Linked DNA regions of Lytechinus pictus. Each later gene encodes a partner of the first gene's protein in a complex. Links are inferred from orthologs where the notes say so. Each region holds a gene or a part of one and is shown on either strand. Other genes may lie near its edges. The genes, in order: pleiotropic regulator 1-like; RNA-binding motif protein, X-linked 2-like; RING-type E3 ubiquitin-protein ligase PPIL2-like; pre-mRNA-splicing factor ATP-dependent RNA helicase DHX16-like.

Region 1 (7,699 bases):
ATATTCCCGGATATTGAACAAACTATGTTGGTTTTTCTTTTAAGTAGCAACAGCATTTTTTACTCCATTTTTGAAAGCCATCTTGGATTTTTGAACAAACCGGACCACTGACTGTCCTTGTACTTTGTCCCAATGTCTTATTTGACCATTGAAACCATGGTCTAGACACCAAAATCATATCTCTCAGGTGGATATGAAATGAACTATGTCCATTTTAATTATCAACATCCATTTTAAACTCCATTTTTGGAAGCCATCTTGGATTTTTGGACACACCAGACCACTGGCTGTCCTTGTAACTTGTTTCAATGTACTATTTAATCCTTAAAACCATTGAATAAAAAACAAATTTAGATGAATTGTGGATTTTCAGCCTACAGCAGCCATTTTGGGCGCCATCTTGGATTTTCCTGGTACCCTGGAGTGCTAATATTCACTCTAACTTGTATAAATAAATTATTTTACCAATTGGACCATGGAATATGAACCCAAATAGGATTCTAGGGTGGATAATGATTGAGTTATATCCATTTTTAGTGAATGGCGGCCATCTTGGACGCCATCTTAAAAATAACCACTTTCCCGGATGCGGATTTTGGTAGATTTTTAGTATGTTATTTCTAAGGTCAGATAGTACAAAATACCGTTGAAAAATCATTTGTTGCAATTTGTTCCGGGTCAAACCATATATTGACCCGTCTACAGTAGGATTTTTGAAATGAAACTACTCAGACCTTAATCATATAGTGTAATTGAGCGACTTCTATAATTTCAGCCAATTCTTCTTTATTGGTATGATTTTTACGAGGTCGCCATCATTATCAAGCCTTATTGCTCACGATGGCAGTCTCCTGCATTCTTTTAAAACTGTCATTTTGTTTGATATTATTGAACCGATGCTTATAATGTAACTATATTATAAATTTATTATATATATTACATGTTTACATATATTACCTTGTAAACTTATATCTGATATATTCCGTTCGACCGACCGACCAACCGACCAACCAACCAATCAAACATTAATGTTCATAATGCCTAAATTATTATACAATCAAGTCATCGGGTTACCTTGTTCATACTCCTGGCTCCCTTCTCTTATTTCTCTGTGTGATAGTTCAGCTATTCTCTGGTGTTCTGTGTTAGCTGTAAGATTCTGTACCATCCCATACTGATCTCTAACTTTGCAGGCAACCTTAACCGTATCTCTGTTAGCACACACAAAGTAAAGGATATACATGTATATATGGAAATATTTGGCACGGAAAGTGACAAAAAAATGTCGGCGTGTTTCTACAGAGAATCATTAAGAAAGGTTCTTATTCCGGAATCGAATAACTGTATCGCCCTTAAACTATCCTGTTTCTACAGAGCGAATAATCCAATTAACTCACATTCCGCGTTGCAAATAAACGGATAAACACGGTTATGAGAAACGGTGATTTGCGCGATGTGGTTTATCAATAAACCGCATCGTGCAAAATACGGTTTCTCAGAATCACCTCTGGGAGGTGTTTATGAGATGCAGTTTATCAATAAACTGCATCGCGTCTGTTTCTACAGGGAAGTTTTTCCAGAATTCTGGATTGATAATGGATACTTACGTGGGTAATACCGTTGAATGGTTCTCTGCAGAAACAAGCCATTTGATTACAAAACTTTATGAAAAACATCTCATGATTGAGTAAATTCCAACTATTCCAATTGGTAAAATTTCTCCTTATTCTCAGACCTGCCAACCTTCTACAAAAAAAAGTATTCTTAGAAGGAAAAAGAGTATCTTTAAAGATTTGTCTCAACGTAACAATTGCCAGCCTGTTGTAGTGAGATCAGTAAAAAAAAATATGTGAAATGACTCTACTTGAAAACTTGATAATTCACCATTTTAACATGTGCTCGTAGGCAAGAATTTACTTGTTCTTTTCATGTAACAAGTTACTGGCCTGACAGTGATTTTTACCGGTCTGGGACGGTCGGACCGGCGTTAGTGTCGCGTGCTGTGTGTAATCTATACTCCATGATCGGAAATTTAAAGAAAAGTATTTGCGTATTCATAGCAAAAAAGAGGAACAAACACTCTAAAAAGGGAACGGTTGCATGTCTAAAGCTCTCACTGAATGTCTTCTGCATTCAATCAAGTACTTGTGTGGGTTATTGTTGATCAATATTGACAAGATATTATAAAGCTGAGGATGTTTTTTTTATGGTTGATGATCCTTTTCACCTAAAAACTTCCGGCATTAGTTTATGACGTGTACTTCTAATTCCATCAAATACAACTTGGTTTACTATTGAAAAAATTATTCCATCCTTTAAAAACAAATAGTGATTTTGTTCAAAATTAAAGATACTATTACATGTAGTTACACCCTGATTGTACACATATTATGTAACCAGAACATGCACGTAGATACAAGCAAGGTGTAACGATTTTATCTCTTTAAGTGTATCCTTATATTATTTTGGAATAGGGGAAATCAATAGAATAGAACTAAAAATCAATGCAAACCCTGCATTTTGAGAGTGATTTTTGAAAGGAAGTCATCCATGACATCACAATGATCACAGTAAAAATAATGCACATTATGCTATTGAAATTGATAGTAGCAAATAGTAGTGCGCAGCGCGATGCTTGAATACACATGTAATACTGTCTCATATTACGGGGTTGAAATCATCACTGGGAATGCGCGTAACAATGAGAACAACATTAAAACAACAACAGCTTGTTCAATATAGGTTTGTCTCACAAACAAATTGACCAATCAGATTACAGAATTCATGAGAAATATGGCCCACTAGGAGATAAAAGGTTTATCATAACATATGAAAGTGTCAAAAACAATATGCCCATACCAAAGATGTACTAATAAAAAATGATGTTTGATACTTACGCATGAGGATCCCTGTTAGGAGGATGGGCATTATCAGCTATGAACATTTCATGTGACCTCTTGAGTGATCGAAACACCAGGGTATGGACGGACTGTTTACTGACCTGTAAGTTAAATAAAACATTGACATTTTACCCTGAATTCATGCAAATTCAGCCTTTGACTACTAATCAGATTTCATCATGATAAATACCAGGTATTGAAAATTATCTACTACACAAATAATTATGTTTTTGAGTGCAATGGACAAAGTACTTCAAAGATGAATGATCCATTAATCTTATTCATTACATTTTTCCCTGAATGAAGTATTTTGTCCATTGCATGATTGAAAAGAACGTCCATTATTTGATTTATACGACACCTAAGAATAGATCCTTTTTCATTTTGAATTTATGACTTTTGATGCAAAATATGCTCATGCAGTGTGAGCTCAGTCTGTTGATTGTCTTGTACATACAACCGTCGTTTACATACAACCGTCGTTTCTATACAACCGTCGTTTCTGGGGAATTATTTAACAATTTCTGACATTTCACTATAATCCCTATTCACCGACGGTAGTGTGTTAGCAAGGCTCGACATTAGCGGTGGCCCGGGGCCACCAGAAATTCACCTCGGGCAACCATTATTGAAAAAATGTTAAGTTTTGGTGGCCCGAATAGAGCAACCAATAATTTTCAGCGCAATTTTTCTCCCGATTTTGCATGCATTTATCAACTTCCTACAGTTCAAATTGCAAGCCAATTCGTCATGCGCCCTTTTTGTTAATCTACACACACACAAAGATTGCATAGTCATGACAGTATGTAGGCCTACCGCTATAGCATACAGTAACTTTTATCCAGCTGTGCTGGCCGTCTGGCGTGAGCTTTGCATGCATGAAACTACTGAAGCTAGCTGTGCGCTAGCAGACTATTCAGACTTAGGGAGCTGCGATACGAAATGTTGCTGCTAAGAAATCTTCCACAGAACTTTGAAAATCTACGTCAAAGTCACATTTTACACCAATGAAATGCCCTTCTACAGTCCACATTACTAAAATCTGGTGTAACCTGTTTATTTGCAAGCATTAAAAAGAAGAATTATGACCTCTCTTTTGACTCAAAAAGACCAATTTCCAAATGCATTAATACACATCACAGTCCCACATGTGCATTTGTATGTATGTTGATACTTGGTTTCTTTCGAAGCTGTGTCTTTTCTAGCTAAAAATAAACAGACAGTTTCTTTCTTTCTTGTTTATAAATGACTTCTTAAACCACTCTTGAGGAAGTTAATACTTTGGGAAGGCATTTCATTGATATGAAATGTGAATTTTTCCAGCATTTTGGCAAATATAGGGAAGGATTTTTTTCTCACACTGTTTTTTCCAGATATAACTTTTGCCGTTGTCTTATTTTTCTCTAAATTTTTTCTTTTCTTTTTTTTCCCTGTTCTTTGTTTTTTTCTTTCTCCATTTCCTTTCTTTCGTTTTATTTCACTTATTTATTTTATTATTTTTGTTTTCTTTTTTTAATATACTATTCTAAAAATTATTTTTGTTTGTTTCCCCGTTTTATGCATTAATCTAATTTTGCAGCATATTTTTCTGTGATTTTCTCCTGCTATGATATGCTGGAAAAGAGAAAATAAACTGGATTTGGGGCCTGCATAATCTACATATAGGTTTTAGGATTAAAAAAAGAAGAAGGGAAAAATCATTGTTTTGTACATCTATCTGAGTTTGCTATGCACTATTTATTTACTTACTATTATGAGTGTGTGTCTATACAGAGATTTTTAAAAGTCCACACAACCTGGGAACAATACAATTCTTTTATTCTCTTTCAATCATTTCATATTTACAATAATAGAACAATTTATATATTAACACAAATCAATTAGCAAAGTAAAATAACAGCAAACAAGATTTACATACAAGATGTATTAAGTGAAAGTAACTTAGTGGTACTGGCTGCAGAATTAATATTTCAGAAGTTTGTTTTATTCATTTTTAATTCATGTTTTTCTTTTTCTTTTTCGGGCCACAAAAGTTTAATATCGGACCACAAAAAAAAAAATTTTGAAGGTTTTGGTGGCCCGAACGGGACACAACAAAAAAAGTTAATGTGGAGCCTTGGTTAGTGCGAGCCTGCATGTGTAATCAGGTCAGCAATTCGGGCGACCGGGTTTTGACCAGATTTTAATTTTTTTTTTTATTCTAAATGACATTATATTATCTAGAACGAAGGCCCACTATTTTTTCGTTAGACTCTAATCTTTCTTTTGATACTATATAAGTTCTAAGAAAATATCAAAAATATACGTTACCGATGATTTATTCCTTATTTTTTTAATTTTCCGCCGGAGAGGAAAAATGGCAGCCGTGTGTTGCGCTTTTATCAAGGCTTTCCGATTAAATTTTCGATATCCTGGCCAATCAATGCGAGCGACAAGTTCCGAACGCACGCACATCTACAAGCGCAAAGCAGCGGCACAAATCGCGATATATAGCGACTGGTAAATACGTCTGTAAGGATGATGACGTCATCCAAGATGGCAACTTACGTTGACCAAAGAAAGGATCGAAGATGACTATGTTTCAATCATCATTTGAAAGGAATTAGCGGTAACTGCGGTCTGAGGTACGATATTTCTTAATTTTATATTTTTTAGTAAGTTCGAATGTACTTTCTTTTTTATGTGACATTTTATGTACAAAAATACGATCCGAAAATTGGGTTTCTGCAGAAAGTTAGATCTAACGTTACTGCTAATACGTCGGCTGTACGTACGGGCCAACAACTCTTCAGTCTATGTATTGGTGAGTGGAGCCAACGCAGACAAGTCGCAGTTCAGCGGAACAACCAAAATACAGAGACTGAAGCTTTTTGGTCTTACGTTAGGCATGGCCCGTGTTTTTGGACCAGTCGCCCTCGACTAACCGACTAAAACTAAGTTGCTGTCTGTCATGTCCGTCTTTCACTTTCTTTTAAGCCCGAGTCATATCGATTATTTTGAAAACCGGTGTTCGACATCTTTAATTAGATCGATCATCGATGAATCGAAATTTGAAGGTGGGGAAAATCGAGTCATTGTTTTTGCTCCGGCCGGCCGTCGATGCAGCGCTATGCATGCACTACATGCACTGACGGTCTACACTGGCTGGGTGAGCGTTGCAAAAGCAGATGACAGAGCAAAGTTCGTTTGTATTTTCCATGATCAAAAAACACAAAAAAGGCCGGGTAGCAATGCAGAATTCTTCCCAAAATATCTTCAACAATGATATTTGCAGATGATAACATATAGGTTTAAAATGAAACAATATTAAAGAATTGAATCACGCAGAGTCGATCCGAATGATTTTCGGTCAACTAGCATTCGCAGTCCAGACTCGCACACACCAGCCCCGTCCGCAGCCCCGTTCACTCACTCTCCCGAAACGACAGGCGTGCTTGCCAGCGCCATCTAACAAGTGCAAACAGCGGGGAGAGCGCTGTAACTTGCCTGAGATTGTGTAGTTGGCGGGGTAGTTGGATCCAAAATTAGCTCCAAATAAATTGATGGAAATAAATACGTAATTTTCTCTGGATGGTCATTTGAATTGGTATTCAATGCTGATATAACGATTGTGAGGAAAGATTGTGGAATATGAGTTCTGACGATGTTCGAGACTTAATCCTGATAATGATAATCCATTTTTTTTTTACACGAGCTTGTGATCGAAATAAATACGAATGTCTCGGATCGAGCTCTAAATTCATATAAATTATTATTGGATGTTAAATAATTACAATTTAATAAGATTTTATGGCCATACTAAAAATATTGACGATGTCAACAAAGTATGTTATTTTCATATGGAAGAATTAATAGTATTATACTGGCATTATTTTTATTTTTTATTCCATCTCTGGACGTCTCCGAGCTCCGAGAAAAGAAGCACAATGCGCATGCGCTTTCGATTACGTCTGACATATTTTCCATTCATGAAATCAGAGCCCAAAGTTGGGCACAAACCACTCACACTAATACGAGGTTAGTATATATACTAACCTCGTATAAGGGACCGTGTTTGACCCTGGATTTCGAAGTAGTCGGCAAACATCGCTTCATTGCTGAAGTAATATTTGCCGAAACTCCTTCTCGCTACGCACCGGGGCTCTTTCCGGTAAGTAGCAAAACATAACAAAATTATACATATGAGTTTGAAATAATTTCATTATAAAAAGAGCAAATTTCGCTTACCTCGGCCTAGCAAGTGACTTCGTTTGTCTCTTCTACGAAAATACAAGGAAGCCCGCTAATAATTTCACAACCTTGATTCAGCTCCTCTGTAATTTTATAACTGAGTCTAAATTCTTTGAATGCTCAATTCTTAACATAATTCAAGATTACTATTGGCAGGGTGCTACACAACTTTTTTGAAGCACTTGCCCAGTCAGGCAAGTAAATTTTCAAATAGTTGGAAAATACTTGCCCGAATATATATTTCACTTGCCCGAAAAAATCCTTCAAAACAAAGTTTTATTGCTTCAAAACAAGTTATAGCCTTACAGTTTTACATACCATACCATTGACGGCTTTAAAAATACATTTTTCAACATGACTACTGATGTACCTTGTAGTTGCATTTCTTTTTTAAATGATTTTTATCTTGAACATCATGACAAAATAAATATGCTCTTTAATTAATTTCCTAATCTCATATATTTTCCATATATTTTGGAGGAGAATAGGACACACAATAAAAAAGGGGAAATCACTGAAAATGACCAGAAAAAAAATTAAGAGAGGGGGAGAGAATGAAAGAAAAAAAG
Region 2 (7,420 bases), on another chromosome or scaffold:
GCTGAAACGAAAACATCCTAAACCACACACACACATACCACGTACATATATGCTTACAGTGCGTCTCAGAAAAAAGAAATCGCGTTGTCAGAGTTTTCCAGTAGAGACGACTGGTTGTTTTTTGCTATCGCGGAGTATTTTTTACAGGGACAAGACAACATGGGACGACCTAAAGAGTGATGTAATTTTATTTTACTCTCAAGAATAATAGGGAATTTGTATTATAGGCAAACGAGATAGCGATGCCTATTATGATTGTAAAATACTCTTGGTTCGTTAGTAGTTACTATAGTAACACTTTATTTGGGCTCTTTATTTCCAAATGAGAGGAGATTTAGAATTACATAATACTTCTTGAATTCTGCCATGCAAGCATAATTTGCTGAAAGTTTTCAAAATAAGGATTTACTCTCATTTCGTTGTCAAATATAGTTCGATCAAAATTTATTTGATGATTGTGAATCTAGGTTCTGAAAAACGGGTTCCCTTTTGCTGGGATGCAATGTCATCACACTTCCGTCTCTCGGTCGATTGAACAGGAGAGAAGGGGAAACAAGCTGGACGGAAAACATCTGCCGCCTTTCTTGGTCCATCAACGGCACCAAACCAGTCCAATGGCAATGTCCATATCATAAAATTATTATAGCTTTTGATTTGGTTATTTCTTGAAGAGAGGGAAGATTTTTTTTCTAATCAGTCCGTTTGGAGTTCATTTTGTGAAAACCCAAAGAAAGGACTTGATAAAGACCCTTATTAAACAGGTTTTTCTCTCCATTCTTCAGTGCTTTACGCCCTTAATTAAAAAAAATACATCAAACATGTTGCTGTTTTTAACAAACCATTCAATGATAGAAACAAGCGATCAGAGCATAAAATGAAAGAGAGAATAAAACAAATGAAAGGGACGAGTGAGAAATACTAGCACGAGACATAAATTTTGATGTTCACTTTTTTTATTTATTATTAAAGAAATCATGAGTATATGACCAAAGTAACAGCTGCAAGATTATTGGGGTAAAAATCATTTCGATAGGAGGGCATTCTGTGAAAACCTTCACTTTCTATATATTTGTCAACGAAGCAAAACAAACAAAAATCAAAATCACTGAATGGAAATAAAGATAAAAGGAAATATGCAATATAGAATTACAAATATGAAGAATACGATTATAATATATGCTTCTCATTTTCCAACGTTCTTTTCCTATTTTCCACAAACAAAGATCAGCCAGAGGGTTCAGATTTTACCAGATACATCATTATACAATAAAGAGAAAAAAAATATAGGCCGAGGTTCTGTCCAATGGAAAATAGAAAGTGTCATATTTGAATTTCTTCCACCCTCTAAGAACCTAAGAAGAATAAACAAAATGGAAAAGGTTTTTTTTTTCATCTACGTTCACCTGAAGTCTGAAAAGGGATTCAGACTTCAGAAGTATTCGTTTTTTTTTAAATTATACTTCATTTCTTCATCATCATATAACATGAATTGTGAAAACAATGTACATGTATATCATATGCCTATATTGTATGAAATTATTAACATATTGGTTATTGGTTCTACATTTATAAATTAACCTTTTAACATTTTAACACTAAAGAGTCAATATATGGACATCTTTTTTGACAATTTATATTCACAAGGGGAGAAATACAGAAAAAAAATCTTCAAGAAATATCTATAAACAGAATTGTAAAAAAAACGCAAACATACATGCATAAAAGGTCCTATAGGCCTATTCTAGATACCTGTAAGTTGAACATGATTTTATTATTTCATGTACAATATCAGTAAATCAAAATATTATGAGGAATTCATAATAAAAAGACACAAAAAATATGAACATAAAAAGACAATCTCATTATCACGCTAGGCAAAGCTTCACAAGTCTACCCCCCCCCCCCCCGATCCCCCACCACGGCCACCGAAACGATGCATACATGAAAAGGAGTGAAAGGCTGGCCGGGGATATGGTCATGGGGGAAAATGTGAAAAGAACCCGAGAAATGAAATGATCGCGATCGAGGAATATATTTTGGTAAGGATCAAGGAGATTATGACTAGATCTGTTCGATCAAAAGAGCTTCAGCTCCTTGGTTGATTATGTACCAAGTCGCGTGCCGCCATTATTTTTATTCATCCGTGGCTTGCGCTTATGTCTGCTGCTAGAGCTCAATAGAGCGGGCGAACGTGTACCCTCAACTAACTCAAGCTGTAGTGTCTTTGCTACCGGTCACGGCAGTGCTAGTGCGACGTGCTGCTAGAGCTAGAGCGGCATAGTACGCACAGACAGCAGCTGGCGATGCGTAAGGGCAAAATGCAACTGAGCTCCGCGGCTCCGCCAATTTTCAACAATTCGATTTTTTACATTCGATTTTTTTCTTTGATGGGCATGATCGAAAATCGGCAAGTGATCGCCGATTGTGGTGAAATCGAATGGAATCGGTTGCCGATTGCAAAATCGGTTACAAGCTTAGTTCATGATGTTTGGACCTCATTCAATTGGTACTAGGTCGTGGGTTACCACTGCCACTGCACTGTACATGCCGCCGCGCACAGAAATATCAAGCCATAGAAGTCGGGTGTTGTGGACACCAGAAGTGGGATCCCAGCACGCGTGACCCACTAGTTAGAAATACACTGCCAAACGCGGTTCATGGTGCGAGGTTATACTATTAACCTCGCAATAAAAGAGTGATCCCGACCCTACAAAGTCAAAGACATGACATAAAATTGAGCGAGTGGGACAACATATATTAGTTTATTACTAGTCGAGTGAGAATTATAACGCAGCTGAAAAAGAGACAACAGATTGAGTGTTAATATTGCTGATATCATCATTTACACTGTTCATACCCTAAATTCAAGATTTCATCAACTTACTTCATGATCTCCGCGGGGATTTCCGCACGTACCGGTACATAAATTAACAAACAGACATAGCATAAAGAGGCAGCCCTGCATGCATAAGACCAACCAACGTAGAGGGCAACAACACGGGCCTGTATTGACGGTGCTCTCAAGATGCATAGGGGTGCCGTGGACGACAGAGTGGTCTATTGTTCATGGCAAGTCTCGGGTTCGATCCTCGGCCTATATATGCCCGACGTGCTCAAATGCAATCAATCATCATCTCGATTCTGATTAATTTTCGGCAAACTAAACTTCGTTCCGGAAGACATAACAATCGAGTCTAGTTTATACTGCAACTGCTGTGAATAAAGTGTATTTTTTTCTTCTTTGTTAGCTAGTTTCAGTGATATGATTAACAATATAAACATTTTTTATGTTTTATTCTAAGTGAAATGATGTAAGCATATTTTGAAATGAAGAAAATGCTGATTATTTTCCTCAGTTATTGTTGGCACTTTTCAATCTTTCTAGCACAAGCGATTTCAGTTGATTATAGATTTGCAGATTGACATTAGAAATAGAAATAATAGTAACTTTTTTTTTCAAACAAAAATGTCAGGTCCATCATACCGCCATTTTATACTCCTCTCTCCCACACTCTCTTTTGATATTTTTTTTCACCAATACCTTTTCTTATTCTCACTACTATCAAAATATCTATATTCTCTCTCGAGAATTAAATATGTATTGTGTTGTTGTTGAGGATGCTAAATCAAATTATGCCCGTCTTAAATATTAGTAGGAGTGGGCTGTACATGGTCATGGGTCAAATATATATATATTTTTTTTTTGTTATTTTGATAAGGGAACAGTTCTTTAAATTCCTTTTAATGTATCTCAATATGAAATGACAATATTTTTTGGTCTCGGGTCCCCCAAAAAGTGTGCCGGGCCAATTAAAATCCTAAATGACCGCCACCCCCCAATCACATATTTTGTCCACAACTATTTTATTTGGTGGTCCTTTTTCTGATTTTGGTGTCTGTTTCTGGGAGCAGGCAATTTGTTTTGGCTAAAATTTGTAGGGCCTGCTACACTGCAAAAACTCTGGTGTTGATTTAACACCAGCCCGGAATCAATATATGTCAACACCAGAGAAGTGTTAAACAACACCAGTTAAGTTTTGGTCTAACACCAGATATGTGTTTACAACACCAATTAGTATTAAAAGAGCATCGGCTTGATTCCAAACCGGTGTTATCTAAATATTTCTCTGATGTGGACATATTTAGATTCCTGGCTGGTGTTAAATCAACACCGGAATTTTTGCAGTGTATAAAACCATTATTTTGTAGAGTTGAAAGGTGATTTTACCTACTATTTGTCATTTATGATGGTGAGGATAAAGGAGGAAAGATATGAAGGCTGGGGTATTTATTAATGTTTCAAAATCATAACATTCACGAAATTGCACACCCTTTTCCTGATTTGGATTATGACAGTGCTTATCCCCCCCAAAATCACAACTTTCTCTGTGTGTGGTTTGTTAAGTTTTTATTGCTGTTGCTATCGTCCTCTTCAATGGAAGTACCCCCCCCCCCCTCAGATGACCCTCAAATGGCAACTGGAAAAAAAATGAAGAAAAAACAAAGCAAATTGGCAACAGGTTAATTATTTGGAACCTTATTTCCCTTTCCCCAGGTAGAGCTGAAGGGGTCCAACGTGTCTAAATTTGTTTACAGAAAACCAAAACCAAAGGAAACATTTGAAGAGTAATATGAGAGCAATAAAAAAAGCTTTGTTTTATCAAAGTTACAAAATAAGAGTTATGTAAGTGTGTAAAGTCTTGATGTAAATTCAATGGGTGTCCTCATATTGGCAACATGCTAAATAATGACTAATTTCGCTTTTTACACAAATTTTCAAAATTACCTTACAAACCACATCTTGCTTTATTTTGAGCGCAACATAATATGGGAAAATACAATTCCTACCATATGTCATGGTCAGGAGATATCAGATATATTTTGCAAATGTAAGCAAGCTTATGAATAGTGTTTGCAAGACTCTTTAAGCTTCCATAACTCTCTTATTTTATAAGCGATTTTTAAATTATTTTTTGGTTTCTCTTACTCTATTCTTTCAAATAAGCTAGATTCTTTCTTGGGTTTAGGTTGCCTATATTTATGTATGCAATATTTTGTAGTCTTTCATAAATAAAGATAAACTGAAATGAAGTGAAAGGAAATGGCTTGATTTTTTTTTTCAAATAAAGAGTGGCACAATGATTCATTTGTTTGTTCACATCTTTCACAGAAAGGCTATTCATGTATATAGACTATTAAATGTTCAACATAACAATAAAACATAAAAGAAACAGCACATCAATATTTTTCTTCAGAATTATCAGTTTAATAAGTGTCATAAATAACAAAATATTATTCAAGGCCATATGGTAAAAAAGAAAATCATACTACATAAATTGATGTAACTTCATATTCTTGATACACCAAGGCAAAGGGACATTTCAATGAACACAAAAGGACATAAATGATTACTTGCCTCAAAGAGATTAAACAGATAAAAATTTTGACTGCAGGTGATTTTGAAGGTTCTTTATTTCAACATGACAAAGAATGTGTTGATCAGCAAAGTAAAAGGAATGCATACAAGTTAGAGAAAATGTCATATGACCATGTCTGGTGACCTAGTGTTGCAACCTCTCAAATGTCTTGTAAGAAAGTATATAAATTGATAATAAACCCCAAAGTTCAATGACCTCAAATGACATTTGACCTTCACTGGTAAACACATTGATTTAATATCATTTGTGATATCCAATAACCATTTCACACATTTCACGTTTCATTTAGTTAGATGAAACACTTTTAAGATGACGAACATAACTTTTTTTTTATCAGAGTCGATTGATCTGAAATTACATTTGACCGTCACCCAGGGATACAATTGTTAATCATGTAATTGATGACACAAAATGTACCTAAAAACATCAAAATTTGAAAGAATAACTCTTGTCCTTTGTTATAAACGAAAATACTTTAATAGCTGAAAATGTGGTCTTAGTTAACCCAAGTTTAAACCATGGCTATCAGAATATGACCCAAAGGCCCGTATTCTGAAGTCGGGTTTAACAAAGACCATGGTCTAACTCTGTGCTAAAACTATGGGAAGCCAAACGTTTCAAAATTTTGTTTTTAGAGTGAATGCTTCTCATGTTTACTGTGCTCTTAACTAATTCTTTATTGGTGAAGACGACTGTCATACTTATCTTTCCCAGGCAGTTAATGTTTTGGGAGTCAAATGAGCTGATACATTGAACCTCTACTTGTTGTAGATTTATATAACAACTGGCTTTCCATAGTTAAACCACAACTAAAAACCAGAGTTTAAATTAAACCCGACTTCAGAATACGTGCGAAAGGGTTTAGCTCAATGTGGTATTAGATTACATGAGAAAGAGACAAACTGCTCATGATATAAATACTCTAAACTGCCTGTCAGTGATTCTCACTGCAAAAGGTTCATAATTATACAATGGTACCTACAGTTAAGGCCAGAAGTTTACATACACCAAGGAAATTTAAAGAAAAGCTGACATTTGTCAAACGTCATAAAATTTACTGTATCTTATCAAATATTTTTGCTATCATGACGAATTTGATATCAAATTCATGAGTATGTCATATATGCCCCTTCATCACATTGATTTGTCACCAGGAGCTGAAAAAAATATTTAGGTGTCATTTTCCCCAAAAAAATCTTCATATTTTAGACAAATTAAAAGTAATAACTTGACAAAAACATTTCATATTTGCGCTAGTTACTTCCCAACACAAACATTTCAGATTACACTTTATTGTTCAGTGGTGACATATCATGATAGAAAATGTAATCAGTCAGTCGGCAAGCCCTCAAAAAGTAGCTTCTTTTATCCAAGTGATATTCATGACTAGAGGGTTTTTGCATTGTTAATGAGCTTGGTGCGGACGAAAACACCTCTTTTTATTCGGGCATTGCTGCTCTAAATATTGACCAAATTTCATGTTTTTGGTATCTTTATAAAGAAATATCATTCTTTCATGTCATGTGTCTGGATTTTTAAAAAGATTTTATAACATAGGTGAAACTTTTGTTCTAAAACATGAAACAAAATAATTATTTTAATGCAAAAAAACTTGTTGTTTTAACACTTAATTTCTCGTTGGGCCCAAATAATTTTTAGATTATGATAAAGCTCAAGATCTAAGCTTTAATATGATATAATTTTCATAAGAAGAGGTATCTTAGATGGGTCAGCAGCCAGCTTTTAATAGGCCAAGTACATTTAGCAGTTTAAAATCAAGAATACCATGCTTTGTTTGGTCATAGAGACCACACACCCACGCAAATTCCAATGTTCCCATTCAACCAATCAGAACTCTAGATTTTATGCTACTCAGAAATTTCAGAAATCTCGTCTTGCATTTCGGTGGAAAAAGCTGGCTGCTGACCCATCTAAAAGGTGCCATATATCAATAGTGACATTGTAAGAAAGTATAGAGTTTG
Region 3 (7,667 bases), on another chromosome or scaffold:
AGATCAAAGATAATACCATCTGAAGTACAGTAGGGGTGCTCAAAAGGCTGAAGGGATAGACTTTGGATATAAGAAAAAAATGTAAATACTATTTGAATAAGAATACAATCGTTTAATCATATCTTGTGCAAAAAAATTTAGAAGTACATTTATTAAATACAACTGTTTAATTTTTAATTATTATTATTTGAAAAAGTTTTTGAGATTTTGTGCATATGTAGGCCTGCCCCCCCCCCCCGGCACGGTTGAAAAAAAAGACCTGTCATATGATTAATACTTCAAACCATGAAACAATACTAAATACGATATAATAATAATAATAATTCAATACTTACATAGCGCCTAACAAAATTTCTCTAAGCGCTTAAATATATTAATAACTCTTCAATTTACATAAGGAAATGAAATAAGTATAAAATCTTATATATGAAAATATAGCTAATACTTTATAAAATTCCTATGTATTCCCTTCTTTAAGATTTTCTAATGAATGAAATCACATACCTGCAATGATCAAATGGTAATCTACGAAACTCAGATTTCTGTGATTCTGTGATACAACATTAAAATAAGAAAGAAAATTATTCAGTTTTCATAAAGAGTATACAATGTATATCAGGGGGACTAGATGGACAACTTACAATGGCATCACTTTAACGGGTACAAAAAATGGCAAAAAGAAGCTGCTGAAAACTGCTTATCTAATAAAAGAGAGCCAATGGAGTAAATTAGAAAGTCAATAGGGGCCTAAGCTTTCGATCCTAGCAGAATCTTTGTCGGAGGCAAAAAATGTTAAAGTAAAGGGGAAGAAAAAGAGAGAGAAAAATATATACCTTGAAAGTTTAATCCACAAACCTCAGAAGCACTGGTGTACCATGAAAAAATATCAGAGCTCTAGGTGCAATTTCAATGCTAACCCCCTTGCCAGATCTATGCTAAAGGTTTCAGATGTTGGAAAGGGTGCAATTTTAGCACCCACCATGGGGTGAACCCTATCTGAACAAAAAAATAAATACCCAAATGTCATGTTCCAAGTTGATAGCTTGTTACTGCTCATTATTGTGCCATCTGCCTCTTTGCTATTCATCTCAACTCTATGATTATTATAATGTCTTCTAACATTAAAAAGATCAGAGAATAAAGATGGATAGAGATGAGAAAACTTCAATCTCTCTTACCAGTTTTCTTGCCACCGTAGAATGCCGTCCACTCCTTGGAGGTCAGATACCTGTTTCATTGTGAGAAGAAGTTTGCAAACTATTAAAGTAATAGAAATGGTTCCAACACTCGCCTTTCAATCAGAAGATAATAGGTTGAATCCTACTCCAGGGGCCCATCGTACAAATTTATGATGATGGTACTTTTGCCATTATGGTATTAATGCAAATCTTGTTTTGATAGGATGCTGAACTCTGTAACCACGGAACATAGTTTTAAAGGTAAAGTTACCATCATCATAAATCTTTTATGAAATGGGCCAAAGTGATGATTTTCTATTAAAACAGGAAAAAAAAACAGGCAAAGTTATCTGGAGTTTCCCAGGTGAAGTACAGCCAGGGTAACAATATCACATGGTTCACTGTAAAGTGGTTATGATATTATAAGGCCTACAATGCCGCATACTCAAAGTTGCTGCATCAAATCGATCAAATCAATGGATATTTGTAATCAACGTTATTATGGGGAGGGAAATTTTCAACAACATATATTCAACAATAAATTTTAGTATAGAAATAAACATGAAACATTCTATTGTAAATTCAAATGGAAGAATCAGTTGTTTTAATGAAATGTCTGTTAAAAAAATAACTGGTCATGCCGTTTGTTTTCAAGCTGTTTCAAGCTGCGCATGATCAGAAGATTCTGCGCATGATCAGAGGAAGGTCATTTGTACTAAAGTGACATGGTTTTTAAGTTATTGCATTTATTGGGGTCTCTATTTTATCAAACAATTATTGGAATTGCGCATACAATGAATCATGAATCTAGTTTTAAAAATACCACCAAGCTGAATTAAGGTTGTGAACTGTATTAGCGCCACGAACGACCTTCCTTTTATTTCCGTGGAAGAGACGTGCGAAGCCACTTTCCAGGCGGAGGTAAGCGATTTTGCTCTTTTTTGTGTCCTTTTTAAATTAAAAAAATATGTTAAAAATTGAAAATGGAACGCTTTCTACCAGAAAAAGCCCTGGTGAGTAGCGGAATGGGTTTCGGCTAACATCATTCACGTTATGAAGCGATGTTAACGACAACTCTACAAAAACATGTTGGTTGTGCAAGGTTCGTATACGGTATAGCACTAACCTTGCAATGTTGTGAGTGCCCACTATGGCACTAGCTAGCAATACCGATAGCATGCTGTCGGCTTGATTTCTGTGCAAATTCAATCAATTGAATGGGGTGGAGATTTTCTGTGGGGTTTTTTGTTGCTGTCATTTTGAAGATACAATCCTTAATTTCAATTTGTTAGAAAGTTCGCAAACTCAGTCAGCATGGTCAGATCAATCGTCAATGCAGATTTTCAGAAGAAAACCAGAGATTTCTTCATTTTAAATTTCAGTACATTTTTGCGACATCGCCAGCCCCCTCAACCTCCTTCACACAATTCACAACCTGCTTTGTCAGTTTGTGTTTGAAAGTGAAACAGCCAGGCAGAAATTTCGCCTACAGTACAAGAGCAAGCAACGCCAACGGGATTCTACTACGCACTCCGCCGCCCAGACCGGCGTTGTGACATGGGAGAAACCCGCAGGTGCCAGGGGCCCTAAACTAAAGAAACCGTGAATTAAAGAATCAGATGAAAAGGGGGAAAACCATAAAATACAATACTCACATCTTATCTGACTGATGTTGTCTCTTCCCCATCTTGATTTATCGACTCTACTTGAACAAGGTAAAAATTAAATTTCAATAAAATTCCGGAGTTCCGCGTCGATTTTCTCCACTAAGTATTATTAATGATGATCTAAGTTCTACGTCCTACGTACCATACCGTATAGTTTAAAAAAAGCTACCGTAGCTGGCGTTATGTGAATCAAAATAATGGTGAGGGGTATACTCCCGGGATTAATGCCAATGGGTGACTTCGAGTTCAGTGTTGACCGTTTGATGTTGGTGTTAACCTGTTAGGTCAATGTTTACACGATTATAACACCAAACATAAAATGAAGATGGTGCCGAGAAGTCACTCACTAGTTGTTGAGATGTCAATAATGTGATCTGGATCAGTTTTACAAACTCAGAATAGATTTTGGAGCTAAGGGAGGGGGGGGGGGAATTAAGCAATCCAAAGTTTCAACACCAACACCAACACCAAAAAGTAAGTGAGCGATCGAGCGACTCCTTTGTGTATAAACATTATGGCCCGAATTCACCCAAGAATTTTAAACCCCCTCGGGATTTTGAAATCCCGTGTGAAACGCAAATGAAAAACCCAGCTCGGGATTTAAAGGGATGGTCCAGGCTGGAAGTATTCATATCTCAATAAATAATGTAAAATTCACAGGGCAAAATTCTGAAAATATCATCAAAATCGGATAACAAATAACGAAGTTATTTAATTTTAAAGGTCAAGTCCATGCACCCCAGAAAAAAACTGAAAATTTCATTAAAAAATTGGATGCAAGATAAGAGAGTGATAACATTTTAAATAAAATGAATAGTATAGATCTAAATTTATAGATTTCAGAGCGCAGAAACTATTATCTAAATTATATATTCTACTGCACTATATAAGACACCGTTCTCACTCCCTTCCTAAAACTAGTTCAGTGGAAACTAGTTTAGTGGAAACTTGTAGTGAGAACGTCTCTTCACTTAAAAATAAATAGGGCATACATTTTATCAATCCCACCTCTTTCCAACCTTAAAGCAAAGATAATTAATATGTACATCAAAAAAGATATATTTTTATAAATGAATTCAAACGATTTATTCGACTAATGCCATTCCTGCTAGTTTTAATAGTTTTACAAATTGTAACATTATAAGAACAGTTTGAGCATTATGATTATATGACCAATATTAGTGCAATTGAGAAGAATATTATTTTAACAGCAATGGAAAGTTCCTTTCTGTTTGAGAGTTCGAGAGTTCATTCAGTCAGTGCGCTAGAGGGAGAAGGAGAGCGACTGCTACGAGAGAGAAACTCTACTGACATCAATGGACTGGTGGCGCCTAATGTAATATTTTGCCGCACTACTGACGTGAATAGCATTGGTCGAATAAAATGTTCAAATTCAACTGTAAAATATATCTTGTTGTTGTTTTATATTTTGAATGTACATAATTAACTTTGCTGATTGGTTCGAAAGAGTCTAATGATTAATAGAGTTTATTTGTTTTTCGCGAAGGAAGCATGCGAGTCCTTATGATATACCAACAATGTCAAATCCCTTTCCTTTAATTTTCTTCTCATATCTTTTTGATACATTAATGAATATCTCCCTATAATTATGCCTTGCTGTGAAAGAGTTTAGTCGAAAAGGCCACCTAATTACCAAAAATTGAAAGAGCGGAAGACACCATGCGACGCCGATGAGGTCAACCAGACGACACCACCTACAAAGAAGTTGGGCGTCGTGTCATCCAAGTTCTCTGTCGACTTTCTCGCTGAAAGCAGTCGATCGACGTCAGAGTCAACGACAGTTTCATTGGACCCACATCTTCAATGTCATGGCGTCACTCAGCTCCACTGCACGACATCACGTGACTCAACGAAAGGCGCCACCAGTCCATTGATGCAGCAGCGTAACAGGGGTCGGTGGCCAAGGGGGGGCAAGAGCCAAAAATGTCCCGGTCATATCATGGAACAGGCAATGGCGTCATAAGGCAAAAATTTTGAGGGGGCGATATGGCATATCGGGCCAATATATATATATATATATATATATATATATAAGCGAGCGAGCAAAATTTTTATACATTTTTATTGCAAAAATCCAATTTTGTGATAGATTTTGACATAATGTTAAAAAGATGATATCATAATTATTTCACCCTCCTCTTTTTCCTTTTTTCTCTCTTTTTTGTACGCCACGGTGAACAGGATTTTTGTTATGATTGTGAGCATCAGGGCGAAGCTCTATATGCTCGAGGGGGCCGAGTATGGCGCTTCTGGCAAGAAGTAGCTTAATATAGGTCCGGGGGAGCGAAGCGAGCGAGATAAAAAAAATCACCTTTTCATGAGAATCTAACATGAAGATAGATTTTAACGTGATATTCAGAAAAATATAATACACTTTCCTTTCTTTCCTCATTTTTTTTTTGTTTCGTTGTAGAACTTTTGGGGGCCATGGTCCAACTCATCCATATAACAGTGCTTTATGGTGGGGTCCAGGGTAGAACCCCGGAACCTCTTGATATCAAAGCCATAAACCTTGCAGATGGCCACTTATTTTAATCAAATTGCGTGTATATTTATAAAGCTTTAACACAACACATAAATTCAATGCAGTTGTGTATCGTAATCATCCACATATTGTGAGGGGCACACCATAGCAAATGTGGGAAAATTTGTAAAAAGTCGCCAGCGAGCGAAGCGAGCCAATAAAAAAAAGGCCTGTTAAAATGAAATTCTAATTATGTGATAGATTTTTACATCATTATAGCAAATATCATGTCATATATTTTTTTCATTCATCTAATTTCGCTGCCTCCTTTATTTTCTTTTATTTCCCCCCCCCCCGGTATGCCAGTGTTTCAACGTAAAGCTTAATGCAGGAAGGGTCCATATAGGGGCCTTTATTTCCCGCTTTTGTTTGCCTTTTTGTCATCTTTAATTTATTTCCCTGTCTTACTAATCATGCTACTGTATTATATCGGGGCGAATTGTTTTTTCTCACTTGTTCTTTTTTCCTTCCTTTTCCCGTTATCTTTCCGTTTTCCCTTTTTTATGTTTTTTTCTTAGTTTTCTTTTCCCTTTTCCTTTCCCTTTCCCCTTTTTTCTTTTCTTTCCTTTCCCTTTCCCTTTCTTCCTCCCTTTTTTTCTTTTTCCCGTTTTTTTTTTATTTTCCCGGTGAGCTCCGCCAGGGGGGCAGCTTACCCCCCCCCCTGCCCCCCCCCCCGCCTGTTACGCCACTGCATTGGCGTCAGTAGACTCTCTCTCTCGTAGCAGTCACTCTCCTTCTCCCTCTAGCGCTGAGTATCTTCACCGAACACCGTCTTCTTTCTACACACCAATGGGTTATCATCCGTATATGTCTTCTGCATCAACTTCTAGGCACTGACTGAATGAACTCACGAACTCTCAAACCCAAAAAACCTTTTAATTGCTGTTATGATTCTTGCCAAGTGCAGTAATATTGACCATGTTATTAATAATGCATAAATTGTCCCTAATGTAATATTTTGCCGCAATACTGACATGAATAGCATGCATTGGTCGAATAAATTGTTTAAATTCAACTGTAAAATATATCTTGTTATTGTTTTATATTTTGAATGTACATAATTAACTTTGCTGAAAGGTTAAAAATAGTCTAATGACTAATAAAGTTTATTTGTTTTTCGTAAAGCTAGCATGCGAGTCCTTACACTCTTAAAAATGTTGGGCAACATACGGTCCACACAACAATTGGTTAAAACTTTATCCAATTCTGGGTAGTTTTACACCAATAATGTGTGCTTTGGGTGAAAACTACACAGTATTGGTGTAAAACTACCCAGAATTGGATAAAGTTTTAACCAATTGTTGTGTGGACCGTATGTTGCCCAACATTTTTAAGAGTGTATGATATACCCTCAATGTCAAATTTTCCCTTAATTTTCTTCTCACCTCATTTTGATACATCAATGAATATCTCCCTATAATTATGTCTTGCTGTGAAAAGTTTTAGTCGGAAAGGCCACCTAACTACCGAAAATTGAAAGAAAGAGAGGGAAAAAGGCAAATAAAAGAAGAATATAGGAGACGTAAAAAGAAAATGAGAATGGAAAGTAAATGAGAAAGAAATGAATGTAAAGGTATAAACGGGAGAGGGAGAAATAGAAAAAAGAAAGAAAAGGAGTGATAGAAAATGGGTGAGAAAGATAAACGGGATTTAAAAAAGAAGTAACTAAAACAAAAAAAAAGGTAATTTCAGGGAAGACCAGAAGGATGGAGCCAAAGGAAGGAATAAAAATTAGAGGGAAAAGGAGTAGGAACAAAGGGGGGGGGGGTGACGTTTTGTGCTTATATAGCGTAATTTGAAATTATATTTCTTTATAATTTTCTATTTATCAATCGATTTATTTTTATCTACTATTCTATCTATCTATCTATATTACCATTCTTCTATAAATTTATCTATTCACTCATCTATATCTCGGTCTTTAATTCTATCTATCTATATATCTACCTACCTATCTATCTACCTATATATATATCTATCTATCTATATTACCATTCTTCTATAAATTTATCTATTCACTCATCTATATCTTGGTCTTTAATTCTATCTATCTATATATCTACCTACCTATCTATCTACCTATATATATATCTATCTATCTATCTATCTCTCTATATTACCATTGTTCTATAAATTTATCTATTCACTCATCTATATCTACGTCTTTGATTCTAGCCTACATTTCAGTGTATTTCCCCTTTTCTCTGACTATATATTCCATATCATTTTTTCACCCATCCCTTCAGTTTTTTTCTTGTATCTCTCTATCCCCTCTTT
Region 4 (7,371 bases), on another chromosome or scaffold:
CTTTTAACTGACTTTTCTCATTCCACTTCAAAATTAAATGAAATTTCAGCATTTTGAAATGCTTTCTTGATTTTTCTCTCTTATGCAAATCGACTTGATGTTGGAGTAAACTTGGCCGGTAAAGAAAACTCTATTTCCATTCCAAACCATTTATCAAACTACCCACCTTCTTGCTGCTCTTATTAGTTTTCTTCCTTGTTCGTTCTTTATCCTTGTTTTTCAATCTGGCAGCGAATGCATCTCTCTCTTCTAAATCCCTCCTCCTCTCCTTCTCTTCATCCTCCGTACTATCAGATTCTGAACTTGACTCCTTCTTGATATGAGCTTGCCTGATTTGGGAACAAATGAAATTGTGCATTTTTCACTGAAAGTTTTAAGGCTGAGTGATCAATCATGCTTTATTTTAACAACTGATTGTAGAAAGTGGTCATGCAATGACATAATTTTTTAAATGTTCTACGATTATTACTATGCTTTCTATTCCTGGTTCAAATTTCAATATTCAGAGAAAACAATATTTTATGGAATTATATCATGTGACAAATGGGGCCCGTAGCATAAAACTTTTGCCATAAAAAACTCTGGCAAATTTTTTGCCAGAGTTTTTAAAGTGTAATTTTCAATGGCATAATTTTGTTTGCCAGAGTTTTTGTTTATTTGCCAAAGTTTTTTTTATGGCAAAAGAGTTGCTTGTATATAATGTCACAATATCAAAACATAACAAATACATATCTCTGTTTACCTATTTGATTTTCAACAAACTCTCATTAGGATATTTCTCTCATGTTTCTCTTTTTATTAAATCCAATTTGACAACAGGGTGAATTTCCCCGTTATGATAGTACACAAACTAACATTATAAGATGTAACAAGATATTTTAATATGTGGGGAGACAAACAAAAGCTAAAGCCCAATCAGAGGGTTGTTCCTAAAATACAACACAAAAGATAAATATGCACACATCTCACTACAAAATAAGAAAGAGCAAAGGACATACATCTGATCAGACTTGAAGAAATAATTATACTATACACTTTAAAATGAGAAAAAAAGAAAAAAAAAGCTTTTGCTCATAGTGCTCCTACTTTGTGGAATGCACTCTCTTCAACAATACACAATGCCAAGTCTATAGTCATTCAAAACCAACCTTAAGACATATCTATTCTCATCATATTAAAAAAAACACCACCCTCCTCCCATTTCTGTGTAATAATTCCCTCTGTGCCTCTGAAACTAGATAGAAGGCGCACTCTAAATGCTATATATTATTATTGTTTTTATTATTAAGTATATCCAAAGTAGATATCAGTCTTACCTCTTAGGTTCTGGCTCGCTATCTTCATCACTACTCTCTTGTTTCTGTTTTCTGATGTGCTGTCTCTTTTTACCAGTAGTCTTCCGTCTCTGTGTCAATTAATAAAAGTGTCATCAGTCCTATTATAACTATTGTTGTCATCATAATCATCACCATCACTAATATAATCATCTTTACCATCACCATCATCACCATCATCATCATCATTGAATTCATTATCATCATCATCATCATCATCAACTTCATCATCATCATCATCACCACCACCACCATCATAACCATGATCATAATCATCAATATCTTCATCATCACAATGATCATCATCACCATGATCAACATCACCACCACCAGCATCATCACCCTCAACATCAACATCATCATCACCATCATCATCATCAACATCAACATCATCACCATTATCACCATCATCATTAACACCATCATCATGAACACCACAATCATCACCATCATCATCATCATCATCATCACCATTATCACTATCATCACCATCATCATTAACACCATCATCATCATCACTACCTTCTATCACATCATCAACATTATAATTATCATCATTACCATCTCTATCGATATCATCATTACTAACCTTAGTATAACTACATCTTCATACTACTGTCATAGCAGAATTTAAACCACACATTTCATGTACATGTATGTATCATTCTGGAGCTGATCCTCATGTCCAATACATCTCAAAAGAACCCAAATACAGATATTACCTTTTCTCTGACAATTCTAACCAGTTGCTCTTCTTCTTCCTCATCATCCGAAAGGAGCTTGTATGACCTATTCTTCAATTCTTGTTCTTTCGCTTGCTTCTCTTTCAGTCTATTGGGATTTATAGCTTGCTGCTTCCTCGGTATCTGGAAAAATACGCCAAGGGGAAAAGGAATTGTACAGACTTTGTACATCTTGATCTGTTTGTAATGCAACCCTTCAGACTAATGTGATAAAAATTTTGACAGCATGAATTTGACTTAAATCACTTTGGGCCGTCTAAATTCTTGATAATCGAAAGTCCTAGATAATTAGCAGGTCTCAAGAATATTGAACTGAGGATGCCCTATTGATTGGCCTCAGTTTCCTTCTCATTGGCCTTGAAGATTTCATTCATTGTACTTTTTCAACTTTCACATTTGAGCTGTAATAAAGAAACTTGGCCATTGGGAAAAGTAACTTTGCCATGAAAGTACCAGAATTTAAGCCCCACTGGTCAATAATCATAGTACTAGTAGTTGAAATTTCAAAAGCACCTTTTCCACAAGATAAAAAAAAAATGGAGATTCCGTCCAGTTCGTCATAACAGGAGATATAATACTTACAAATTGCAAATGATAGAGGTTTACTATTCAATAGTTTGTGTTTTCTCACTTTCTGACATCAATGCTTCCTACAAATAAAATGCTAAAAATAAAGATTTCTCTGGTTAAGTGTTATTGGTACCTTATTGAAGAGTTCTCCTGCAAACCTGACCACACCATCTGAGATATCAATGGTCCCAGTCTGCCTGATTTGCTGTACCAAGTCTGAGCTGCTAGACGCCCTCTTGGCAAGTCCGACAAGGAATTCTGCAATGTATCTGTCACTGATTCCAAGGACATCATAGAGCTCGTCCTTCACCCACTGGTCCAGGTTGCCTGATGCCATATTGATGTATTGGCTCAAGGATCACCTGTAAAAATAACAATGTGGAAGAGTAAGAGTTACCAAACATTATTACATTATAATCCTAAGTCAGACTCCACTCTAGATCTATTTTCAAACTATTTTTTCATATAATTATAGACCCCCAAGATCTACTTGAAAGTGAATTTTTATTTCAGTCAATCTGTGACGGTTCATTAGCAGACCATTTCCACCAGTGGGGCAAAAAGTTTGCAGATGATTTTGGTCACAGAAGATGGACAAGTTTAACCCTCTCAAAATATTCATTTGTCCATGAACTTCCACAACAACACAGGGCTTATTCTAAGTTATTATTGCTGATTTGTAGACACCGAGAGTCAAATGATAAGTTTAGTATAACTTTATGCCTACTTTCAAGGTACCGGTATGGTTTCCAAGATATGATAATTCAAGATTCAAAGTTTGAATCTTGATTGAATAGATGGTTGGTTTTTCATTCAATATCGATGCTATAAGTATCAGAGTAGACAAGTGCACTCTTAGACTATACGTTTTCTCCCAAATTAACTTAAGTCTAACTAACGTGCTAACTTTTAAGTAAAAAAAAAGGACAATTACCCCTATGAATCTTCACATTTTTCATTGGGTCGGAATATTTTTAGCCCTGCCTCTGCCCTAGCCAGGAGGCTCCTAGAGAGTAAAAATCATTCACTAAAATTAACTTACTCTCCATGGAGCCAGGGATTGTGCCTATATCATGTGCGTAAAGGACGGGCAAAATAAAAACTTTCGCCCACCGAGATTTCTACTCTTCCTGTAAAATTTCTAGCTAGAACTTACATGTAATTTCGGACATTTAGGCCTGTAAGTTATTGATTACATTTTTAAAACAATATAAATAAAAAAACACCAAAAATTATTATGAAAAGATGAGATTTAACTTACCTATGTTTACGCTGCCATCTTGCCTTCTTTGTTAGTAGTTAAGCTAAGAGACACATATAGAGGACGGAAAATATCTGCCACCCTCTATATGCACTTGTATACATAGGTCAGTTAAATCTCATCTTCTCATCATAATTTTTTGTGCTTTTTCATATACATTGTTTTAAAAATGTATTAATATCGGAAATGAAGTTCTAAACCACTCACACTAGTGCGAGGTTAGTACCAGTATGCTTTACTTACCTCGTACACCGAACCGCGTGTGGCCCTGGATTTCTAATTAAAATTAAAATTACAATTGTAGATCTATGGCTACTCACCGGAAAGAACCCCAGTGAGTAGCGAGAATGAGTTTTGGCAAATATTACTTCTTCAATGTTTGCCGACTACTTAGAAATCCAGGACCAAACGTGATTCGGTGTATGAGGTTAGTATAGCATACTAACCTCCTACTAGTATAAGTGGGGGGGCGAAAGTTTCAATTTTGCCCATCTCGTCTCTCTATACACAGCTGGCAGCCGTCTGTTCGAGGAGTTTTTAAACATTTTTAATTTTTTAAAATTACCCTCATACACAGACGGCTAGCGATCGTGCAGCCGCCATTAGGGGGTTAACAATGCAAAATCAATTTTTGTCTTTATTTCATAAAAATATATACAAAGAACTGGACCAAAATAAAGATTATTATTCCGTTTTGGCCTGAAATGCACCAAAACAGGAAAAAATAAAACTATGAATTACTTCCGCTGTCGCGCAACTCCCATTTCCTGGTTTATCTGAACTTAATACATAAACATATATATGGCCATTGAGTCCCTGTACAGATCGAGCTAGAACTTCGGTCTCTGTAATTGGTGAGTGGAGCCAACGGAGTTCAGCGGAACAACCAAAGCTTTTGCCTCTCTACACTACAGCTACGCACATGAAGGCGTGCACGCGCACGCAATATCTGGCTTCTGGAGGGTAAGCTAACGTTAGTGAATGATTTTACTCTCTAGGAGCCCCCTGAGAGTCCTTGCTACTCTGACCCTTCAGCGGCCTGCGGCGGAGCTGCGTTGCTTGCTTTGCCTCACCCATGGGTGCATTACTGCCGCCATGTACAGGAAAATTGAAGGCGCGGCGCATGCAAAATTGCAACAAAATCCCGCAAATTTAATAAGAGGATTTACAGGATCAAGTCCTCCTACGAAACTTACCGAACGATGTGAAGTCAATTCTTCCTTTTTCAAATTTTTTGTCTAATAAGCTAAAGAGGGCGTGCGATTTATCTTATATCAACTACAAGGGAAAGACTAGGCACAAAAACTATCTTACACGTAAATCGATGCAAAGCGTTACGCGAAGTTGGCAAAGTGTCCAATCTTTTTACTGTAATGTAAAGACTTTGGTGGAACATTAATTGACAAACAAACGGTAGCACTTGTGGGGCTTCGTTCAAGGTAGTAGAATTTTCTATATTTTTTGTTTAATTTGTCATCGCTTTGAATATTTTCCAAAAAGTATCATCGTCAGCAAAAATAATATAAAAGTACCGGTACCGGTACAATGAATGAAGAATCTAGTTTTTAAAATACCAACAAGCTGAATTAAGGTTGTGAATTGTATTAGCGCCACCAACGACCTTCTTTTTATTTCCGTGGAAGAGACATGCGAAGCCACTTTTCAGGCCGAGGAAAGCGATTTTGCTCTTTTTTATGTCCTTTTTAATTTTAGAAAGTCAAAAAGGGGCCTAAGCTTTCGATCCTAGCAGAATCTTCGTCGGAGGCAAAATTTTTAATTTTATATAGAAATAAGTTAAAAATTGGAAATGGAACACTTTTCACCAGAAAAAGACCTGGTGAGTAGGGGAAAGGGTTTCGGCTAACATCATTCGCGTTATGAAGCGATGTTAACCGACAACTCTAAAATCCATTACGTTAACACGTTGGTTGTGCGAGGTTAGTAGGAATCAGGGACAACTCGGACCACGGGACAACTCGGACCGCGGGCCGAGTTGTCCCACCCATTAAAAGATTTTTTTTCTCACAAATTTGCGTCTATTTTTCCGTCATTTCGAAATTTCTTGTAAAGATTTTCTAGAGATATGGTCTGATGGTAATGTTCTTCACTTTCTATTGCTTTTTTTTTCGCTGAAATAAAAAAAGAGTGTAATTTTAGGCGTTTTTCGACAGCTCGCGATTCCCATAGGCGCGCGTGTATTAACTGTGTCGGTGCTCGGCTCGGCCCCGCTCAACAACTGACTTGATTTTGTGATCATTTCTCCTCAAGTTACCACTTTTATCGCAGAAGATGGACTTTCTTGTATTCCATTAACTCCATTTTCTCATCACAAGGATAAAATTTGGTGCATTTGCACGATTTTGTTAAAGTTTTTCACCTTTTCTCTCTGGTCGCAAGAAGCGAACAACCGATGAACGGTCCGCTGCTCTTCATCGCAATTCTACGTAGCTCGGCCGCCTAAACTGGCGGGGTGGGATTCAGCCCGAATCCCCAATGGAAGTGGGCGTGCACAGTCAAAGAGCTGAGCTTGACTGAGTGAGAGAGTGAACTAGAGCTTGAAGCTTGGCAGTGTCGTACAGGCTCTGCCTTTTTTTTGTAAATATTTATATATATATTTTTATTTTTTCTATTTTTATTTTCCCTGGTGTAGAGCTTTAAGATTGTAATAATTTAATATACTTCAATTTCTTTGACTGAGTGTGACTGTGGTGTGGATGTTTGAGTCGCACAAAAAATACTTTTACGTGGGTGGGGGCTCGGCCTCGGGGCGATTCACTCCTGCCCCCGAAATGTGAAAAAATATTCGCAGTGTAGATGTGTGGGCATGCCGGGCTGAGAGTAGCCATCAATAATAAATGTTTTATTTGGGGGCTTAATTTTTAACTTCAAATTGATTATTTTTAGGCCTTTTTTTTTTACATTTTTTTTTTTAGATTGAGTTTCCCTGGTGTAGAGAGCTGAGTTTTAAGTTGCAATAATTAATATGCTTCAATTTCTTTGACTTTGAGTGTGACTGTGGTGTGGATGTTTGAGTCGCAAAAAAAATACTTTAACGTGGGTGCATGGGGCTTGGGGCGATTTCACTCCTGCCCCCGAAATGTGAAAAAATAAATATTCGGGGTGTAGCTGTGTGGGCATGCCGGGCTGAGGGTAGCCATCAATAAAAAAAAATTTATTTGGGGGCTTAATTTGAAATTAAATTATTATTTTTTACAGGATTTAAAACAAAATGATGTAATTTATTGTCCCCCTTTCCATTCCTCGTTTTTCCCTGATTTACTTTCTTTAATATCATTTCTTGGTCTTAAGGGTGGATGTCAGGCTGCCGGGGTGGAATTCAGCCGGAATTGCCAATGGAAGTGGACGTACCTGCACAGTCGTGAGCTTGGAGACTGAAGCCTTGCCCTATACAGTTGTGAACATTTTTTTCAATCAAGTTTTAGGGCCACTCAGTGTTATTCCC

What was found.
Region 2: pleiotropic regulator 1-like (region 1) and RNA-binding motif protein, X-linked 2-like share a complex: the UniProt entries of both Homo sapiens proteins name them as parts of the minor spliceosome. The link is inferred for Lytechinus pictus from reciprocal best matches to the Homo sapiens genes PLRG1 and RBMX2.
Region 3: pleiotropic regulator 1-like (region 1) and RING-type E3 ubiquitin-protein ligase PPIL2-like share a complex: the UniProt entries of both Homo sapiens proteins name them as parts of the minor spliceosome. The link is inferred for Lytechinus pictus from reciprocal best matches to the Homo sapiens genes PLRG1 and PPIL2.
Region 4: pleiotropic regulator 1-like (region 1) and pre-mRNA-splicing factor ATP-dependent RNA helicase DHX16-like share a complex: the UniProt entries of both Homo sapiens proteins name them as parts of the minor spliceosome. The link is inferred for Lytechinus pictus from reciprocal best matches to the Homo sapiens genes PLRG1 and DHX16.

The regions. Positions count from the first base shown.
Region 1 is NC_087249.1:42,998,817-43,006,515, reverse strand, and holds the start of pleiotropic regulator 1-like, read right to left. Parts: upstream 3,004-7,699; 5' UTR 2,945-3,003; coding exon 2,898-2,944; intron 1,212-2,897; coding exon 1,075-1,211; intron 1-1,074. UniProt on the Homo sapiens protein: Involved in pre-mRNA splicing as component of the spliceosome. Component of the PRP19-CDC5L complex that forms an integral part of the spliceosome and is required for activating pre-mRNA splicing.
Region 2 is NC_087260.1:9,505,362-9,512,781, reverse strand, and holds the start of RNA-binding motif protein, X-linked 2-like, read right to left. Parts: upstream 3,001-7,420; 5' UTR 2,890-3,000; coding exon 2,885-2,889; intron 1-2,884. UniProt on the Homo sapiens protein: Involved in pre-mRNA splicing as component of the activated spliceosome. As a component of the minor spliceosome, involved in the splicing of U12-type introns in pre-mRNAs.
Region 3 is NC_087246.1:20,478,965-20,486,631, reverse strand, and holds the start of RING-type E3 ubiquitin-protein ligase PPIL2-like, read right to left. Parts: upstream 3,003-7,667; 5' UTR 2,866-3,002; coding exon 2,834-2,865; intron 1,229-2,833; coding exon 1,179-1,228; intron 551-1,178; coding exon 505-550; intron 61-504; coding exon 1-60. Other genes in the region: uncharacterized protein LOC129283664, read left to right, coding at 3,454-3,469, 4,513-4,758, 6,097-6,227. UniProt on the Homo sapiens protein: Has a ubiquitin-protein ligase activity acting as an E3 ubiquitin protein ligase or as an ubiquitin-ubiquitin ligase promoting elongation of ubiquitin chains on substrates.
Region 4 is NC_087259.1:20,692,963-20,700,333, forward strand, and holds the start of pre-mRNA-splicing factor ATP-dependent RNA helicase DHX16-like, read right to left. Parts: upstream 3,006-7,371; 5' UTR 2,985-3,005; coding exon 2,781-2,984; intron 2,201-2,780; coding exon 2,057-2,200; intron 1,406-2,056; coding exon 1,317-1,405; intron 330-1,316; coding exon 167-329; intron 1-166. UniProt on the Homo sapiens protein: Required for pre-mRNA splicing as a component of the spliceosome. Contributes to pre-mRNA splicing after spliceosome formation and prior to the first transesterification reaction.